Arabidopsis thaliana: one gene and its partners. The protein of the gene in region 1 interacts with the protein of each later gene in a pairwise test. Each region holds a gene or a part of one and is shown in the gene's direction. Other genes may lie near its edges. The genes, in order: AT1G10660, AT5G59650 and AT1G16170.

Region 1 (3,758 bases):
TACTAATTACTCTTTGTAATCTCATTTAACTTGCCCGTTTAAATAAACAGACAAAATTAAAGAACCCTAATTAAAGTTTGGCAGAACCTATGTCCCAGAAAGTAAGAAAAAAACAAAGTAAACTGAGAAGTCATAGTCAAAAGACAAGTTAGTTCCAACCAAAATAAAATAAAATGTGATATCAAGTTGAAAAAGTGACGGATAGAGAATCTATCCTTTGGATCCTCTCCTCTATTTTTAGCCCTTCACTTGGATCTCTCTTGGATAACTCATTAAATGACACTATCCAATATAACCACATGTGTATCTGCGTATGTATATGCATGTGTATTTATATTTAGAAGCTTCCTAGTTTTGTCTAAGAAAATATCTTCTTGTTTTGTTCCTTTCAGCGCTATAACTCATAATTCTCTTCCAAAGTTCTTGGATTTGTTCCCCAAATCAACTGGAGATCTAAGAAGAAGAAGAAGAAGAGCGAAGATCAAAGGATAAGGAAGAAGAGAGGAAAATGTGTACTCATGCTGATGAATCACAACACAACAATCTCCCTTGTCTCCATTGCCAACCACATTCTTACATTCGCATGGTACATAACTACATATATACACATACTGTATATAGTTTATACGTTTTGTATTTGATGTAACAATCCTCACAACTAGTGGTTGATTTTGTTAGGTTCAACATATGATAGAGAGATGCATTCTACTCCGTATGACGCGGGACGAATGCGTCAAGGCGTTAGACCACCACGCAAGCATTCTACCACTCGTTACACTCACTGGTTAGTCTTTACAACGTTACACATATAACCTCTATATGATTCCTCAAAACTGTTCGAAAGCTTCGTTAACTAAAAGGAATTAATAATGATATTTAGACATATGTTTCGATTTTGCTTCGTACGTCAAATTATATAATTATATGGAACAATTGAAGAAATTGATTATTGTTTTCTTGGATCATGTATGTTCATCATTATATATTCGACATAACTTATATTGTTGAGTTCACAACAGTTTTTCAACGTAACTAGTTAATTTATGCAGTTTTCAGCTATATATTAGGCTTTGCAAGTGTGCTACAAAAAAAATTACATGATATTTTTCCCCCCCCCGCAGTTTGGAGAGGACTTCAAAGAGAAAACAAGGACTTCTTTGAAACGTATGGGCATTTCGTCTCTCCTAGGCCCTTCTTAAGTAAGAGATTGTGGGATCAAATGTCCTCTTCTAATTGTTAACAAATTTCAATTAATTCCTCAGTCAACATATAAACCACACATCAAGTATGTTGTTATATAGTTCATTTTGATGAGAGTTATGTTTTCTTTATCAGGCGGATATGTTCGAAGATCGCCGAGGTTTGCGAAAAGGATATAATGAAGACTTGGTTTAGGCTCGTAGCTAGATATATAGGAGAAAAAGCTTGAACTTTATATATACCTAGGCATATGTATTACATATTCCTATGATGAAATACTCATGCTTATTATCTGTGGTCCTTTTGATGTCATAAGGTTCCCCTATAAGATTAAGCAGATAAGATTGATTTTCGTGTGTAAACTAGTTTTAAGGTTGCTTATTTAGATAATTAGATGCAGTCTGTTTATTGAAAACCCTCGATTATAAGAGGCTTTACGATTTATATATAGCAAATGTGTAAAATATATTTTTTAACTAAACCATGACGAGCGCTTACTAATTTGAGTAAATAGACTGCATCTAAATAAGCAACCTTAAAAATATGACACTAAGACTAAAACCAATCCCGCCGGCATAGAAAACGACCAATCTGGTTCGAATTCTGAATACTAATTTGAATCTAAACTAAAACACTTTATTTCCTTTTACGAAAGAATAAGTGCAACTGACGATCATTCAGTTAGTTGTTTATAATGTATATTTTTAAGTTCCAAACGAGGCTGGCTAGGTGTATAAATGTAAAAAAAAAAAAAAAAAAATGGTGACAAAAGATAGGCAAAGATTTGCATATGAAAAGATGTTGGAAATTTGGTTATTTCCTTTGACAAATTTTTTTTTTGGATATTTTATTTCAAAGATCTACACGATTTCATGAGTAGGAAATAAGAGTTGGATATTTGAGCATATTCCTCCTAAAAACATAATGCAGCAACAAATGTTTTAACAAAGTGACATTAAAGTCCGGTTATCTCCGGTTTAAGAAAAGTGAAAGACGGAATTGATTTGCGCTCACACCTGTTCGGTTCTTTTTTTTTTGTCACACCAACAGAAATACAGAGGTACACACATATCCTAAACCGAACAAAACCGGGGTTGTAAAAATTAATTGCGATTTGTGGCGATTCCGTTTAGATCGGATAAAAAATCTGCACGACAAAATTTTCCATCTTCCTCCTCTTCCTCTGCCAACTTATAATCCCGTCAAAGATCTTTCCTTTTTTCTTCTTCTGGTTTCTTTGTGGTTTCCTGGAGGCTCTCAGCATCTTCGAGTCGTTGCGAGGATGCGTTAGAAGAGAGTCTCCTCTCAATCTTCGAATCTCCAAGTAATCTTTCTGTATTTTAGGATTCACCTCTCTTTTTGTTCTGTTTGCTCGATACAATGAAATTTTGAAAAACTTCGTTAATTTATGAAAATTGAAATGGATTCTATATCGCAAGTTCTTGTTCCAATTATATTTGTCCGTTAGTGCAAAAAGGTCTTACCTTTTTCGCCATCTTACAGTCTTGTGAATAATTCAAATTCTAAAACTTTTTGAGATTCTTACAGAGACATTTTGTCACTCTTTGCAACAGAACAGTGTGAGAATGGGTGACCAATATGTTTCTTAGTGGTGATGTTCTCTTTTGCTTTGTTGGTGGAATCTTAGGACTGTATTGACTGGCCATGGCTGCTGATACCACAGCTTCAAGTTACTGGTTGAATTGGAGGGTCCTCCTCTGTGCATTAATCCTCTTAGCTCCAATAGTATTAGCAGCTGTTCTCATTTGGAAATATGAAGGCAAGAGAAGAAGACAACGCGAGAGCCAGCGAGAATTACCAGGGACATTGTTCCAAGATGAAGCTTGGACCACATGTTTTAAAAGAATCCACCCTCTTTGGTTGCTTGCCTTTAGGGTATTCTCGTTTGTTGCAATGTTGACTTTACTCATTTCCAATGTTGTGCGCGATGGAGCTGGCATATTCTACTTCTATACTCAGTGAGTTTTAATCATTATACTTCCTTCTCACATTTCTGAATCCTTGAAATGAATGAAAAAGATCTAAACTTTTTTTCTGAAACAGGTGGACATTTACTCTTGTCACACTCTACTTTGGGGTACATCTCTTGGAAATTCCGTTGTTGAGGTTACTACCTTAGTTTTAGATACTAAATCTGTGATACTTTTTTTCTTCGTAGTATGCTTCGGTGTTATCTGTTTATGGATGCTGCATCTATAATAAAGAAGCTAGTGGAAACATGGAGAGTTATACAAGTATAGGTGATACGGAACAAGGCACTTATAGACCACCAATCGCTCTTGATGGGGAGGGAAATACGTCAAAAGCTTCCAATAGACCTTCAGAAGCACCCGCCCGAAAAACAGCGGGGTTTTGGGTTTATATCTTTCAGATCCTTTTCCAAGTAAGTGTCTTATTTTCCCCTAAGTTATCTTGTTGAGAGTGAAGACTGTACAATGCCATCTCAAAGCTTCAAAAGGACTTACAAAGTTTTCTGTTGGGATAGACTTGTGCAGGTGCTGTTGTGCTAACAGATATTGTATTTTGGGCGATAATCT
Region 2 (3,758 bases), on another chromosome or scaffold:
GATTATTGATATTAATGCTAAAAGGCATTATGAAGAGTATGATCCTTTTGTTTTGGCTTCACAAGCAGATCAGGTATGTTATGTTCCATATCCACGGATGACTCAGCCGAGAAAAGATCAACAATGGGAAGCAGCAATTATGATACAACCGAGAGGGAAAGTATTGATAACAAAAATCTGGATTTCACTGCAATGCAGCATGATAACGATGATTCTATTGTTGAAGTTGATTCATTACAAATCGAGACACTATCATATCTAGATGCCCAACCAGAAGATCTTGATGATCCAGTAGTAGAAGCCGAAGATGGATCAGATGCTGAAGATGGAAATTCTGATATCGAATTAACTAGTGACGAATCCGAATAATTTTTTTTTTCATTTGGACTTTTTACAGCTTTTTTTGTATTATCAAAAACATTGTTTCCAAAACTGAAGAAGTTTTTTTATTTAATTTTTTGTTCACAAGTTTTTATTTTTGTATTAAAATTGGTAACACTTATGTCACAATCTATGACCAAACGCAAAAGTCACTAAAACAGTGACAAATTGTGTCATCGTTGTTACAAAATTCTCGTAACTATACATGACATAAATTCAGTCACAATTATCGTATAATTTAGTTACTATATTTGGTCGCAAATCCGTACTTATATTTATGACTATATAATTTGTAACAAATTTGACATAATTAGTGACAAACATTAGTTACATTCAATTAAGTCATAATATTATAACGAAATAGTAACGTTTTTATGACCAAATAAATACGTCACAATTTTGTATGAAAATGGTCACAATTTTCTGACGAAAATAATGACCGTAATTTTTTCGTAAGAATATCGATTTCTGACCAGACGCTCTTCAATATCCGTTAGTAGTTGTGACACTTGAATGTGGTTTTGGACATGTCACCAGAAACTTGTCTTCAAGTGGTCTAACTGGAACCATGGCTGCTGCGATTCAAAATCTTACGCAACTAGAAACTCTGTAAGTAAGCTTGAATAATATACATACCGTTGCGTTTAAAAAAGCTACTCTCCAGCGACCGTGTTTCCAGCACTCCAAATTCATTATTTTCTGTTTAATGGGCTGATAAAACCCATGTTTGGCCCATAACAATTATTTCTGTTATTATAGCAACGTTGAAAAATATACATACCGTTGCGTTTAAAACGCTACTCTCCAGCACTCCAAATCGCCAATCGCGTTCTCAAACAGTGCTAATCGCCGATGAAGAGGTCTCATTGTCATCGCCGTCCTTCTCACGACGGGAGATTTCGCTGCCGTATATGGCCGATTTATCTCCGGAGATTCCTCACATTCGTCCTCCTCCTCACAAAAGTTATTGGGCCGGCTCAAAGAGATGGAATCAAAATTCTCTCAGTTTCATGGCCGGAAGGTAATTTCTCAGTTTATGATGTAACTGAAAATCCTTTAAAAATTTGAACTTTATGATTTTAGATATCTGATAATGGCGTCTTTGTCTTGAAATTTGTTTCTTCATGTTGACCCACTTCTCTTTAGATAATAGTCATTGTTGATAAATGTGAATCCTCTGCTTTGTGATTAGAAGCTGTTCTTGTCGATGAAGACGTCAAAATGTGTATTAATTAGTGATAAATTATCCGATATGATTCAATCAAAGTCACTGACCACTAGAAAGTCAAATCTCTTGCTTTCTCTCTGTGTGAACATTTTTTAATGCGTTAAAAGAGTGGTGACTGTAAAACCCTCTATTGACATATTCTCTTAAAAACACAGAAGTTGCATATTATTTTTTCTAAATACAAGTTGCATATATTCTGACATTCTTGGGACAAATCAAATTTGTAATTGTAAAGTTGCAATAGAAAACACATTTACTCATTCGTTTCACTGACTCAGGACATCTTGCCATGTTGCCAGAGGCTTGGACTGTTTCTTGGGTTTATCTATTTATACGCTGTGTTTCTCTCAAACTCTGGCATTGGTAAGGTTTTGATATCTAAAAGCAATTATGGATAGTCCTTGTTGGCTTTTGCTGCTGCTATTAGGAGCTTTTGCCATTATTGGTTGTGTTCAAGCTCAGGATCAACAAGGTACCTAAATCTTAATGGTTTATATGTATATTACACTACTACTTCTTACTGATTCGAGTCTTAGTTATGTTTGTATCTGAGATGCTTTTGATTTTTCACTCTCTTAACAGAGTTTATCAGTTTGGATTGCGGGTTACCCATGACTGAACCGTCTTCTTATACTGAGTCAGTAACCGGACTACGGTTCTCGTCTGATGCTGAATTCATCCAGACTGGTGAAAGTGGTAAAATCCAGGCGAGTATGGAGAATGACTACCTTAAGCCGTACACGAGGCTGAGGTATTTTCCAGAGGAGAGAAGGAACTGCTATAGTTTGAGTGTTGACAAGAACAGGAAATATTTGATCAGGGCTAGGTTCATTTATGGGAATTACGATGGTCGTAACTCTAACCCGATATTTGAACTGCATCTAGGACCTAATCTGTGGGCAACTATAGATTTGCAAAAGTTTGTGAATGGTACAATGGAGGAGATCCTTCACACTCCAACATCAAACTCTTTGAACGTTTGTCTTGTTAAGACAGGGACAACTACACCCTTGATCTCAGCCTTGGAATTACGGCCATTAGGAAATAATTCTTATCTCACAGATGGTTCTTTGAATCTTTTCGTTCGGATATATCTCAACAAGACAGATGGCTTTCTTCGGTAAGTGTTTTTTTTTTGGTTAACAGTGATGGATTCTATATTCCTATACTCTTTATTTTTAACATTCCTATACTTATTCAAGGATAATACAACCTTTGTTCCACATAGGTACCCGGATGATATTTATGATCGCAGATGGCATAATTACTTTATGGTGGATGATTGGACCCAAATTTTCACCACTCTCGAAGTGACCAATGATAACAATTATGAACCACCAAAAAAGGCTCTTGCAGCGGCTGCCACGCCTTCTAATGCCAGCGCGCCATTGACAATCAGTTGGCCACCAGACAATCCTGGTGACCAATATTACTTGTACAGCCACTTCTCTGAGATACAAGATTTACAGACCAATGATACCAGAGAATTTGACATATTATGGGATGGAGCTGTTGTTGAAGAAGGTTTCATCCCTCCAAAGTTAGGGGTGACTACTATCCATAATCTTTCTCCAGTGACATGCAAAGGAGAAAATTGCATTTACCAGCTAATAAAAACCTCGAGGTCAACTCTTCCTTCTCTACTTAACGCTCTTGAAATCTACACAGTTATCCAATTTCCACGGTCGGAAACAAATGAAAATGATGGTATGTTACTTATCTTCATTGTTATGCAGATACAGTCTGTTTTTTTTTTTTAACTAGAGAAATCAACTTCACCTGCTAATTCTCACATCCTTGAGCTCTACATCAGTGGTTGCTGTTAAAAATATCGAAGCTGCCTATAAATTGAGTAGAATCAGGTGGCAAGGAGATCCTTGCGTCCCTCAAAAGTATGCGTGGGATGGTTTGAACTGTAGCAACAACACAGATGTTTCTAAACCTCCAAGAGTATTATCCTTGTAAGTCGTAAGATCCAAGATATGAACATGCACACTTTGACACTTATCTTCAAAATAAGTTAACTATCATGCTTTGGAATCACCAGAAATTTGTCTTCGAGCGGTTTAACTGGAATCATTGCGGCCGCAATTCAAAACCTTACACATTTAGAAAAACTGTAAGTATGGCCATAGTTAATATTGGTTTT
Region 3 (3,758 bases), 2.0 Mb from region 1:
TGTGGAGACCATTGCACTCGTAATCCCGGGGTTCACTTGCAAGTCCACTGTAACAGAGGTACATGCAGTACAGAGATATAACCGATGCTGGTAAAATGCTTCCACCGACCTGCAAAAGAATAGGTTAATTTGACTTCAGTGAGCCTGAAATTGGGAATCAAATAAGATCTCAGATAAGAGAAATATAAGGTTTCAGTCAAAACTTACAGTAGGATGCAAAACTACAATGGCAAAGACGAATACAAATATCAAAGTCATGATAATGAAGAAGGTGTTGAGTCCACAATCATGTCCAGATGGAGTAAACCAGTGGAAGAGAAACCCAGAGAAGACGAATGTTGCCAAGTAACATACAAGAGAAACAACGAGCAAAGCAGCATACCTATATATAAAAGTCAAGTACTTAGATTAGTAGTGGGATAATGAAGTCACATGATTTAATTGCAAATATATTTACTAACCAGAACTGCTCGTCGTAGCCAACCCATGTGTCATTCCATCCATGAACAAAATCCAAAAGAAGTACAACTTGAACAAGCAGGAAAAATCCAGCACCAAACTTTGACATCGACTCTGCAAGATGTAAAATTGATTCCCATTAGTTCCAAGTTAATCGATTCACTAATCACTTTGCAATGATAAACAGAAACTTACCATAGAAACTGATGATTTCATTTGGAAGGAAGAACATAAAGATGACTAAAATGCACCAACAGATTATTTTCATCATCCAACCACCATGGTGTATACCATCACGAGGGTCTTTCTGATTTTTCACACCGATCATCATAACCGATAGAATAGAGAAAAACAAGAAATTCCCTAAGCTGACACGCAACACAGCATCAGTCTCAAACCATTCACGATCAGGTGTCTTGTGAAAATGGTTAATCCCTGCACACAATGTCAATGATTAGTTGCATACACCAAAATAATCTCACGAGAAGTATAATAACAAAAAAACTTACAAGGGAGCTTCTCCATGAGAGGAGCAGCAACTTCACGGAGAATCCATGAAACGATTAAGGAAAGTGCAAAGAGACCACAGTAAGCAATTCTAGCAGAACGTCTGCTGATCCCAGAAACCACAGTACGGCAAGCATCGCAGGCACAAGCAGCACAACACGATGCGAGACAAGAAGCTGCAAACATCTTCTTTCTCCTCTCAGATTAAAGGTTGGATTCAATATTCAGCTGCTAGTATCAACCAAAACGCAAACACAAATCATCAAAACACAAATCATCAAACAAACAAAAAAAACTAATTTCGGATGGAGACGGTAAGAAAAGCAGCTTTTTAAAGACCGAATCGAAAATTAATCAATTTTGCTCAGAGATAAACAGAATTATTTGGAATCAATTGAAATTGGTTAAAATAAGCTGAAATTTATCCCCAAATTCGAGATGAAATCATAGCTCCCGATCTAAAGCTTCACCCGAGAAACCTAGCTTTAGGGATTGAATTTGACCTCTGGAACAAAAGAAGGAAAACGAAAATCGCTTGAGAAAGAGAGAATCAAAATACCTTGCGATCGATCAAAAACCTTGAGCTATCCTCTCCTTGAAAAGTAAAACAACTCGTTGTTTCTTTATTATCTCGCTCCTGATTTCGGACTTTTGACCAACTTACAAAGGAACTAGTAAACCATCAATACCAAGTTTTCATGTTTGGCCCACTAATGGCCCAAATTATTTTAATTTCTCCTTCTGTTTATCATGCATGGGCTTTTGATTAAGATAGACCTCTACTAAAACCTTGCAAGTCTCCTTACAAAGAAAAAGAAAAAAGTTATAAAAAAAAAACTCTAGGCTATTGGGGGTAAATAGTTTTGGTTTGGATGCTAAATGCTAACCGGCTAAAGTGATTCACGGCAACGGCAACTCAGTCTATTAGGATTTCAGTGCAACTAAAACAATGTATTTTAGACTTTTAGTTTAGTTGGAAGCAAACCAAAATATTGAACACCTCATACTGTCATACAAATACAATATACAAAAGTACTAAACATTATCGTGATTACTAGAACATGAGTTGTCTTCTCGTTAATGATTAAAAAAGTTTATCTTAATACGTATTCGTAAATGCCCTCTGGAAGCTGCAAGAGTCAGATCATAGTCCTAGGTAAATGTCATCACTCATCATCGGATTCTAACAACATGCCCATCATCTTCAAAACACAAAGGAGTGGAAGCTAACAAACAACGCATCATCATTTTTTTGTCCTCTTTATATATCTTCTTTCCTATTTTTTATCTTTTTATTGTTTTGTATATAAAATCCCTAAATTCCCGTTTTATGTAACGGACATAATAAGCCGCGTACGGCGTATCCGGCAAATCGGCCCAGCTCGAGCCATCATCAATCTACGGAGGAGATCCATCTCTCTCTCTCTCTCCATATCGCAACAACACTGCTGAAGATTTCGGGGGTTGTCGACGGAGCTGGAATCTAGCTTTTTCTTCTCCAGATCTCTAAACCGATTCTCACCGGTTCGTTTTCTAATAATCTTTCACCTACTTCGGATCTGTTTCCCTCGATTATCCAATGTGCATCGATCGCGAGTTGTTGTTGTTGTGTATTGTGATTGATGATTGATTGAGAATGACGTTATTGTTGGCAATTTGTTGCTTTCATTTTCATCTTTCGTATACGATCCAAGCTCTTTTGTAATTATAATTATGACTAATGTCGTTTCCACAACCAATCAAAACAGCGATATGTGTCTCGAATTCTTGTTTCTCATTGACATTTATGATGGTTTATGATGGAAAAGTGATCTCCCAAATGTTACATTCAATCTGATTGTGATGATCTCCTTTTCATAGCATGTTTATGTTTCTTGTAAAATTGTGTTAAAACGACTTGTGTGTCAATTTTTGCAGGTTAATTGGTATTATAAAGCCATGGTTCTTGATGGGCTTGTATCTTCACCGTCAAGGAGACAACAATGTCTAAAGAAGCAGTGGGACGAGTTGGGTAGCTGGTCGACTCTTATTCAGAGGCATCAATATCTCTTAACAGCTTTGGCTCTTTTGGCTTTCCTCTGTACTGTTTATCTTTACTTTGCAGTCACTTTAGGCGCTAGGCACTCGTCCTGCTATGGCTTGACCGGGAAAGACAAGGCAATGTGTCAATTACAACTTGTTCAAGCTCTCTCCAAAGGGAAACTTAAATTCTTCTAGACTGTTTATCTATCGGTGAAAGTTTGAAACCCCCACATTTATTGTTCTTGTACTAAAACATTCTTTTTCTTCTTTATTCTATAATGCAATTTGTGTGTATTATTACATGGTGAAATAAAACCAGAGATTCATAATTGAAAGATAACTTTATTTCATCAGATGAGATGAGAGTATACATGTGCACTGTTTTGAGTCGGATCGTCACCTCCGGTTGTATGTCAAGCCTCTATTAGGCGCTCTTATTAGAGCTCATGCGTTTCTGTATATTTGGGAATTCTTACCAGCGGAATGATGATAGCAGCGGGATATAACTTCTACTACCTACACAGGTCGAGACTCTGAAACTGAAACCATAATGCTTGAAGTCAAACATTTTCTGACACATCGTTGACTCCTAGACAAGTAAGTTTTTCCAGTCATCAAATAATACATTCAAGTCACACCAAAAGTCCACACTTCATTTTCAAAAGTACATGTTAACTTCGAATTTCAAATACACTTTGTGGCTAAAGATGGATGACTTGCTGCCGAGTGATCTTATTGATTTTCTTGTCACCATATACATTACATAAAGG

What was found.
Region 2: the proteins of AT1G10660 (region 1) and AT5G59650 interact in a protein complementation assay, tested with the Arabidopsis thaliana proteins (one large-scale study listed by BioGRID).
Region 3: the proteins of AT1G10660 (region 1) and AT1G16170 interact in a protein complementation assay, tested with the Arabidopsis thaliana proteins (one large-scale study listed by BioGRID).

Annotation. Positions count from the first base shown.
Region 1 is NC_003070.9:3,530,144-3,533,901, forward strand, and holds the start of AT1G10660 (uncharacterized protein), read left to right. Parts: upstream 1-2,085; 5' UTR 2,086-2,524; intron 2,525-2,748; exon of another isoform or gene 2,749-2,774; 5' UTR 2,775-2,865; coding exon 2,866-3,179; intron 3,180-3,264; coding exon 3,265-3,298; intron 3,299-3,379; coding exon 3,380-3,604; intron 3,605-3,706; coding exon 3,707-3,758. Other genes in the region: AT1G10657 (uncharacterized protein), read left to right, coding at 509-586, 679-784, 1,050-1,199, 1,336-1,379.
Region 2 is NC_003076.8:24,029,347-24,033,104, forward strand, and holds the start of AT5G59650 (Leucine-rich repeat protein kinase family protein), read left to right. Parts: upstream 1-1,999; coding exon 2,000-2,081; intron 2,082-2,191; coding exon 2,192-2,729; intron 2,730-2,837; coding exon 2,838-3,293; coding exon of another isoform or gene 3,294-3,316; intron 3,317-3,375; coding exon 3,376-3,570; intron 3,571-3,656; coding exon 3,657-3,728; intron 3,729-3,758. UniProt on the Arabidopsis thaliana protein: Required for accurate photosynthesis.
Region 3 is NC_003070.9:5,538,299-5,542,056, reverse strand, and holds AT1G16170 (ephrin-A3 protein), read left to right. Parts: upstream 1-2,054; 5' UTR 2,055-2,490; intron 2,491-2,883; 5' UTR 2,884-2,904; coding exon 2,905-3,183; 3' UTR 3,184-3,391; downstream 3,392-3,758. Other genes in the region: AT1G16180 (Serinc-domain containing serine and sphingolipid biosynthesis protein), read right to left, coding at 1-109, 208-382, 462-573, 655-894, 969-1,152.